Saccharomyces cerevisiae S288C: one gene and its partner. Each later gene encodes a partner of the first gene's protein in a complex. Each region holds a gene or a part of one and is shown on either strand. Other genes may lie near its edges. The genes, in order: GCS1 and RET2. A codon is read from its position in the direction of its gene.

The links.
Region 2: the proteins of GCS1 (region 1) and RET2 are in contact, whole or in part, in a crystal structure (PDB 5FJX), measured with the Saccharomyces cerevisiae proteins. Residues at the interface, in NP_010055.1 of Saccharomyces cerevisiae: Lys348 (codon at 3,061), Trp349 (codon at 3,064), Asp350 (codon at 3,067), Phe352 (codon at 3,073); in NP_116709.3 of Saccharomyces cerevisiae: Lys348 (codon at 2,840), Thr349 (codon at 2,843), His350 (codon at 2,846), Pro351 (codon at 2,849), Asn352 (codon at 2,852), Leu366 (codon at 2,894), Lys371 (codon at 2,909), Ala372 (codon at 2,912), Phe373 (codon at 2,915), Pro374 (codon at 2,918), Ser379 (codon at 2,933), Leu380 (codon at 2,936), Gly381 (codon at 2,939), Val382 (codon at 2,942), Leu383 (codon at 2,945), Arg384 (codon at 2,948).

What each region holds. Positions count from the first base shown.
Region 1 is NC_001136.10:50,604-54,192, reverse strand, and holds GCS1 (GTPase-activating protein GCS1), read left to right. Parts: upstream 1-2,019; coding exon 2,020-3,078; downstream 3,079-3,589. Other genes in the region: septin SHS1, read right to left, coding at 93-1,748. UniProt on the Saccharomyces cerevisiae protein: GTPase-activating protein (GAP) for ARF1 and ARF2. Involved in intracellular vesicular transport. Required for transport from the trans-Golgi network.
Region 2 is NC_001138.5:249,340-253,601, reverse strand, and holds RET2 (coatomer subunit delta), read left to right. Parts: upstream 1-1,798; coding exon 1,799-3,439; downstream 3,440-4,262. Other genes in the region: HXK1 (hexokinase 1), read left to right, coding at 1-10; proteasome regulatory particle lid subunit RPN12, read right to left, coding at 273-1,097; PRE4 (proteasome core particle subunit beta 7), read left to right, coding at 3,736-4,262. UniProt on the Saccharomyces cerevisiae protein: The coatomer is a cytosolic protein complex that binds to dilysine motifs and reversibly associates with Golgi non-clathrin-coated vesicles, which further mediate biosynthetic protein transport from the ER, via the Golgi up to the trans Golgi network.

The DNA of each region.
Region 1 (3,589 bases):
TTTTGATCAAAAGTAAAAATACCCCCGTTCGGTAACTTATACATTTATTTATTTATTTATTTGCTCAGCTTTGGATTTTGTACAGATACAACTCAATCTCTACCCGATGCAATAGAGGCTAAATCAGTATACGTGTCATTTTTTTTAATTTGGCTCCTTGTGCTCTGTTGTAGAGAATTGATTGAAGATGATGAACCGTTTAGTTTATTCTGATTTATTAGTTTTTCCCTCAATTTCAATTCGTGTGCTTTTCTTTCTAATTCTTGAATTCTTTTTTGTAATTCTTTAGCTGACTGGGCCTCTAACTCTTCCAGTTTTTGTTGTCTTGCTAAAATTCTTTCATGTCTCAAGACATATGGAACGGTTTCTGAAATATTTCTTAACTTGGTACGCTCTGGTAAGTCCGGAGAGTTCAAGAATTTTGGTGAAGATTCTGTTTTGATAGATCTTATCAAATTTTCATTTTCTTGTTTTATTTCTCTACCCAACTGTCTCACGGGAGACATTTCCTGTTCATTTTCTGCTGAATCATGTTCGCCATTGTCTTCGTATTCGTTTTCCTTAAAGTTTCCACTTACTTGGTTTCTTGGTGTGTCCGCTCTCAAATTGTTTGCAAGAGTTTGAGAAGAATTGAATTGACCAGTGCTTATCAAAGAGGCAAAGTTGCTTAAACTTGGAGCATTTGACTGTCTCTTTGTAGAATTAGGACCAATTTCTTCAGCGTTGGCCACGGACGATAGTTTTTCGGAACGGTAATTCTCGTAAAGCAAATTTTGCGTGGTGTCTTTGAATTCTTGTAAGTGAGAACCAAACAGGACGTTTTTTAAAACTTTCAAATCCGAAATTTTGTCGTCGTCGATTGATATTATCCCCCACGGATACTCCCTAACGTATCTACCTTCACTATCTCTGGTATCTGAAGTTATAATAGCAAATGGTTGCAAGGATGCCAAGGCTTGATTCTCTTCCATGGATTCCAAATCATCATCTTCAGGGTCAACCTCAAATTTGTAAATTGGGACGTTGTATCTTTCCACATCAAACATAATATTTTTCCTGAATTGAGTTAGCTCCTCCTTGGTGAATGAGTCAGCTCTTGTTATTATTGGCAGTACATTTGTGTATTTGGAGATGCTTTTCATGAGCTCTACATCGACTTCTCTCAGACCGTGTCCAGTGGGTTCAATAAAATATAATGCTACGTGAACCCTGGTGTCCTCAAACCTCGGATTCCTTTTAATTCTGGTTTCCTCAGCTAAAACAATGTCAAATTGTTGTTCTAAATACGACATAACTTCCTCAGAACACAACGAATCGTCCAAGTTTTCGCCTATACCATGCGTCATAATCAAGTTGAAAAACACGGTATCATCCTCGTTCATTTCTGGCTTTCCTTGATCTTTGTTGCCCCCAAGTTCTAATGAAGTGGAGGTGATGGTAATACCTGGTTCCAAATTGGCTCTCATTGGATCGAATTCAGAAACATAAGATGGAATCCCATTTTTCGAATTAAATGAAACAACTTTTGTCGGAGCAATAACTTTTACTTCTGGGTTAGAGCTAATACTAGCATTTGATTTACCGTATTGATACTTATGCGGAAAGATCTTAGTTTCCAATAGATTGTTAGCAAAGGCGGTCTTTCCTGTACCTGCTGGCCCACATAGTAACATTGTGTATGTGATCCCACGTTTATGTTCTTTCTTTCTACGAAATAAGTTAATTGGCGGTGTTGAAGCAGTGCTCATGATTAATAATATATTTTTCTAGCAATTATAAGCAGATCTTTGGGGCTCTTGTTTTATTATTTCACTTGCTGGGTACATTGATCTTGCTCGAAAGCTTGTTATATTCTTTTCGCAGTTTGGCACTTTAAAAATCGCGCGGTTACCCGCAAGCAACGCCAGTTTTTGTCAAGAACCAAATTGCACAACTATATCAAGAATGAAAGCAGAAATATGGACGTGATTCTGAGTTTAAATGGTGCCAATTGAGCAATTTTATCGCGGATTATAGAGCATGTCAGATTGGAAAGTGGACCCAGATACCCGCAGGCGTCTTTTGCAATTGCAAAAGATTGGTGCAAATAAGAAATGTATGGATTGTGGTGCGCCAAATCCACAATGGGCCACGCCTAAGTTTGGAGCTTTCATTTGCCTTGAATGTGCCGGTATCCATAGAGGGCTTGGTGTGCATATATCTTTTGTAAGATCTATCACTATGGATCAGTTTAAACCGGAGGAACTTCTTCGTATGGAAAAAGGTGGTAACGAACCTTTGACTGAATGGTTCAAGTCGCATAATATTGACCTGAGTTTACCACAAAAAGTGAAATACGATAACCCCGTCGCAGAGGATTATAAAGAAAAGTTAACATGTCTTTGCGAAGATAGAGTATTTGAAGAGCGTGAGCATTTGGATTTTGATGCTTCCAAGTTATCAGCAACCTCTCAAACCGCTGCATCCGCTACGCCTGGTGTTGCTCAAAGTCGAGAAGGGACACCACTGGAGAACCGTCGATCTGCAACACCAGCAAACTCTAGTAATGGTGCCAATTTTCAAAAGGAGAAGAACGAAGCTTATTTTGCTGAGCTGGGCAAGAAGAACCAATCTAGACCAGATCATTTGCCCCCTTCTCAAGGTGGTAAATATCAGGGCTTTGGAAGTACACCCGCAAAACCTCCACAAGAACGGTCTGCAGGGTCCAGCAATACTTTGAGCCTGGAAAATTTTCAAGCTGATCCTTTGGGAACATTGAGCAGAGGATGGGGCCTCTTCTCCAGCGCTGTAACCAAATCGTTCGAGGACGTAAACGAAACGGTTATTAAGCCTCACGTCCAGCAATGGCAATCCGGAGAGTTGTCAGAAGAAACGAAGAGAGCAGCTGCCCAGTTTGGCCAAAAGTTTCAAGAAACGAGTAGTTATGGATTCCAAGCATTTAGTAACTTCACTAAAAATTTCAATGGTAATGCAGAGGATAGCTCTACAGCAGGGAATACAACCCATACAGAATATCAAAAGATTGATAATAACGATAAGAAGAATGAACAGGACGAGGACAAATGGGACGATTTCTAATTTTAATATAGTTTTTCTCAACATTCAAGGAAAGTTCAATTCACATTGTAGCTATAATGGAGAAGTGGTTCTGTAAAGTTTACACGTAATACTTCTGTCTCTAAATTTGTATTTTTCATATCTTGACAAGAAGAGGTTTACTCTCTAGGATTATAAATAAGTCTACACCAGTATTCATAAATAGTTACCACAAGGCCATATCGTAAATTATTATACAACCTATTAATTACAAATAGAATTGCAATCCTTTCCCATCGGCGTTGTTGTACTGTTGCAAGGCTAATGACGGCTATTATTAAAAAATGTTTTAGACCTGGGACAATCGTTATCCTTTTCTTCATTATTTGGATGTTTGCGCCTTAAAATTATCCTGGGCACGAGTGAAACAAAGCTAAAACCTTTATTTAGCATGGCCATTGAATGTAACAATTATATATATCGCAAGCACAAAAAATCAAGGAGAGAGAACTACCACTTTGTTCATGTGTACAATGTTCATTATCTCCATAAG
Region 2 (4,262 bases), on another chromosome or scaffold:
TGGCGCTTAATGAAAAAAATGTAATGAAATATAAATGTGTTTTTCCCTCCCTTAATATTATTATTCTTATGAGTGATGCCCTTATGTTTTTTTTGCGGTCTAGTATATGTAAATATAGACACACACATATATATATATTTATGTGTATAATCCTAGCTAATAAACATTTTTAGATTGTTATTAGTATAATTTTTTCCACTTACTTTGTTCTCCGGGAGAGAAAAAGTTGTTTATTTTGTAGTAATTTTGTGCACATATTATATATACAAATATTACACAATATTTTCAATACTTATGGCATAATCCATTGCTTTTTCGATAATGTTTGTCTTTTGGTCTTCTTCATGCATCATTTCATCTTCGTAATCAGCTTTCTCCTTTGATTGGTTATTGAAGTAAACTTTCGAGTTGACAATAGGCCAGTTTCTCTCTAGTGCAAATTTTTCAGTTTCTTTTTCGTTGTTGAAAAAGAGCAAAGCCTTTATGTTGGAGAGAGGGAGAAAGTCGTAGGATAGCTCGGTATTTTTAGCAATTTCGTCTCTTATAGCTGATTTTAGGATATCGGTAAAAGAGTCGAATTCTGATATATTCTGCGACCCAGATTGCAGAAGATCCCATGCTTTCTGGTACGACCCTTCCATGAGCCATCTGTCTAGTTTGATAGGGTAAGACAAAAGTGAATCGTCTTCCAAGTTCTTGATATGTTTATCTAGATACTGCAATTCCGAGTGAAACTTGGTTGTGTTATTCTGAGACAATAAGTTCAACAAATACAGACTTATCAGCTTCGATTTCTTGTCAGATTCAGATAATTTATGATTGTTGCTAAAGTAGTAAGGCTTCAATTGGTTGAAGTAATTCTCGAAGCTGTCAAAATTGAAAGTTTGGATGCTAGCAAGGGCACCTACTTCCAGGATCCTTTTAGTAATCATCAAATCATTCAAATAGATGTCATTTTGAATGGATAAGTCAGGTATTAAAAGGTTATTCTTGATAAGTTCGATCTTGATAGGGGGCAAGAGCTTCTCACACGCGGCATAATCGCCGTTTTCAAAGGCTATGCTTAACGACTTGGTCAATTCGGCTAACGAGGGCATTACGATGGCTTCTTATCTCACTTCAATAGTACTTTCCACCGGTTATACTTCCGGCTTTTCCCTATTAATACAAGCTACAATTTCAATGGGTGGCAAATAATGTGTAGAATAGAAAATAAGCCGACAGGGTAATAAAGAAAATTTTTAGAAAAAAAAGGTTAGATGGCTTATTTAAGTTACAGGCTAGCGAAAAAAGGAACTTCAGGGCAAGTAAAGTGTTTGATTGGGCACTAGCATGGCTTATAAAGGCGAGCAATTGTCGAAACTAATTAATGTTGTACGGACTATTGCTGTCTTCTCGTGGTAAATGCGTGTTCCAGGTCGAATACTACTTGCACACAGGCGAGCGGGGCCCCATAAAAGTGTTGCCGATTTGTTAAGTTGTCTTTTCGGTTTTTCTACTCTGTTATTCCTTACTTCCCTTTTTAAGAACTCTTTTTATCCTTCATTTAGGATCTTGCACGTTTCCGCCTCATCACTTGAATTAAAACATGTCTCTGTCAGTAAACCTTGGCGTTTCTATTGTTCTTCATAGTTCAACTTTTATTATTACCCGCCCTGCGCGTTTACATTTTTCCAGCAACAGCCAGCGAAAAATTAGAAAATCTGGTTGTTGACACCTCAAGAACAAGGGCAATTAGCCTCAGCGTCGAATATAGATCATATTAGAATACCTATAGCTCCATCAAAAGAAATACACAATGGTGGTTTTGGCTGCTTCTATCACTACGCGTCAGGGGAAACCTCTCTTGTCCAGGCAATTCAAAGATCTGTCCAAGGATCGAGTCCTAGAGTTGCTGTCCAATTTCCAGAACCTAGTCTCCGAGATCTCGTCAGACCACACATTTGTCGAGGACAAGCACGTCCGCTACGTGTATAGGCCCTTTGATAACTACTACATTATTCTTATCACAAACCGCCAGTCCAATATTATCAAGGATTTGGCCACATTAAATCTGTTTTCACAGACGATCAACTCCTACTTGTCTAGTTTCCAAGACCAAGAGATTTTTCACAATGCCTTTGAGATCTTGTCCTCGTTCGACGAAATCGTGTCAATGGGCGGGTACAAAGAGAACTTGTCCTTTACTCAAGTGCAAACATACTTGTCTATGGAGTCGCACGAAGAAAGAATCCAGGAAATTATTGAGCGTAATAAAGAGATCGAAGCTACTGAGGAGAGGAAGCGCCGTGCTAAGGAAATTGCTAGAAAAGAACATGAAAGGAAACACGGGTTTATGTCTTCAAATGGCGATTACGACGGCGCCAATAGGTTCATGGGAAGTAAAGATCCTAACGTTACAAACGCCATCAACAGTTACTACTCCCATGCTTCTCCTGCAGCACAACAGTCTTATCTACAAAGTTCCCATGCCGCTGCTGCTGAGGTGGCCCCAGTGGCCTCCCCAATGGCTACGTCTCAGCGTGCGGGACATTCTGCTACTGGCGGTATGAAATTGGGTGGTGGTGCCGGAAGAAGAGCGGGTGCCGCACCACGGCCAAGTGCAATTTCTTCAGCCTCTTCTGGCACTCCACCTCCTCCGGAGGAGGATGTCCCAGAGAACAATGGTATTTTGATCTCTATCAAGGAGGTAATCAATGCAGAATTCTCCAGAGATGGTACCATTCACTCTTCTGAATTGAAAGGTGTTTTAGAACTAAGAATTAATGACCATGACTTATCTCACTCGAACCTAAAACTAGCTGATTCTATTGACGTTCGCGATAAATCCTTCCAGTTTAAGACCCATCCAAACATAGATAAACAATCGTTCCTATCCACTAAACTTATCTCCCTGCGTGATAAATCTAAGGCTTTCCCAGCCAACGACCAAAGCCTGGGTGTTCTAAGATGGCGTAAAGTCGCTCCCGCAGAAGATGACTCATTAATTCCATTAACTCTAACTACATGGGTTTCCCCCTCCGAATCACAACAGGGCTTTGATGTCATTATTGAGTATGAGAGCGTCCTGGAAACAGAACTCGCTGATGTGATCTTCACCATTCCAGTTTTCCCTCAGGAGCCAGTAGACATAAATACAGAGTCTTCTACATGCTCTGACGCTGAAGTTGTCAACATGGACCAAGAAATGGGAACCTCCATTAAGATTAGCAAAATTGCTGCCAACGATGCAGGTGCGCTAGCATTCACTATCGAAGCTCCATATGAAGATGCATTGTACCCAATGACCGTTTCCTTCCAAGAGTCCACGAGGGATAAATTAGCTAAGAGTTTCACCGGTATGGCCATACAATCTGTTGTCATGGCCAATGACCACGATCAAGAGCTCCCTTACGACGTCATCACCTCTTTGAAATCAGATGAATATCTTGTCCAATAGTACGTTACATTCACATATAAAATACTTAAGTTATATACACAAACTAAATAAATAAAAATCGAGGTATCTTTTCTTTCGTCCTTCTATATATATAGTTTAACTTACTCTTATTCTTTATTATTTTTCCTTTTAGGGTTACCCGTCAATCCTTTTTATTAAAGATGTTCCAGCTTCTTGGTTTAGAATTTGCCACCTTAAATACGTACCCACATAGTAAAGTACAGCTAAGTTAAGAAAGGGGATAAGCAGCAGGAATCCTTCATCTTCCGCCGAAAACAACATAAAAACCCACACGAATGAATCACGATCCTTTCAGTTGGGGCAGGCCCGCAGACTCTACTTATGGTGCTTACAATACACAAATTGCGAACGCAGGCGCCTCTCCCATGGTTAATACACAGCAACCAATAGTAACAGGTACTTCCGTCATATCAATGAAATATGATAATGGGGTTATCATTGCAGCAGATAATTTAGGTTCATATGGCTCTCTTCTAAGATTCAATGGCGTGGAGAGGCTTATTCCCGTGGGTGATAACACCGTTGTGGGCATTTCAGGTGATATTTCTGATATGCAACACATTGAGAGATTATTGAAAGATCTAGTCACTGAAAATGCGTATGACAATCCTCTAGCGGATGCTGAAGAAGCGCTCGAACCCAGCTATATTTTTGAATATCTAGCTACCGTCATGTACCAGCGAAGATCAAAGATGAATCCACTTTGGAATGCCATCATTGTTGCTGGTGTACAGTCTAATGGTGATCAATTCCTAAGATACGTAAATCTTCTAGGTGTTACGTATTCGTCTCCCACCTTGGC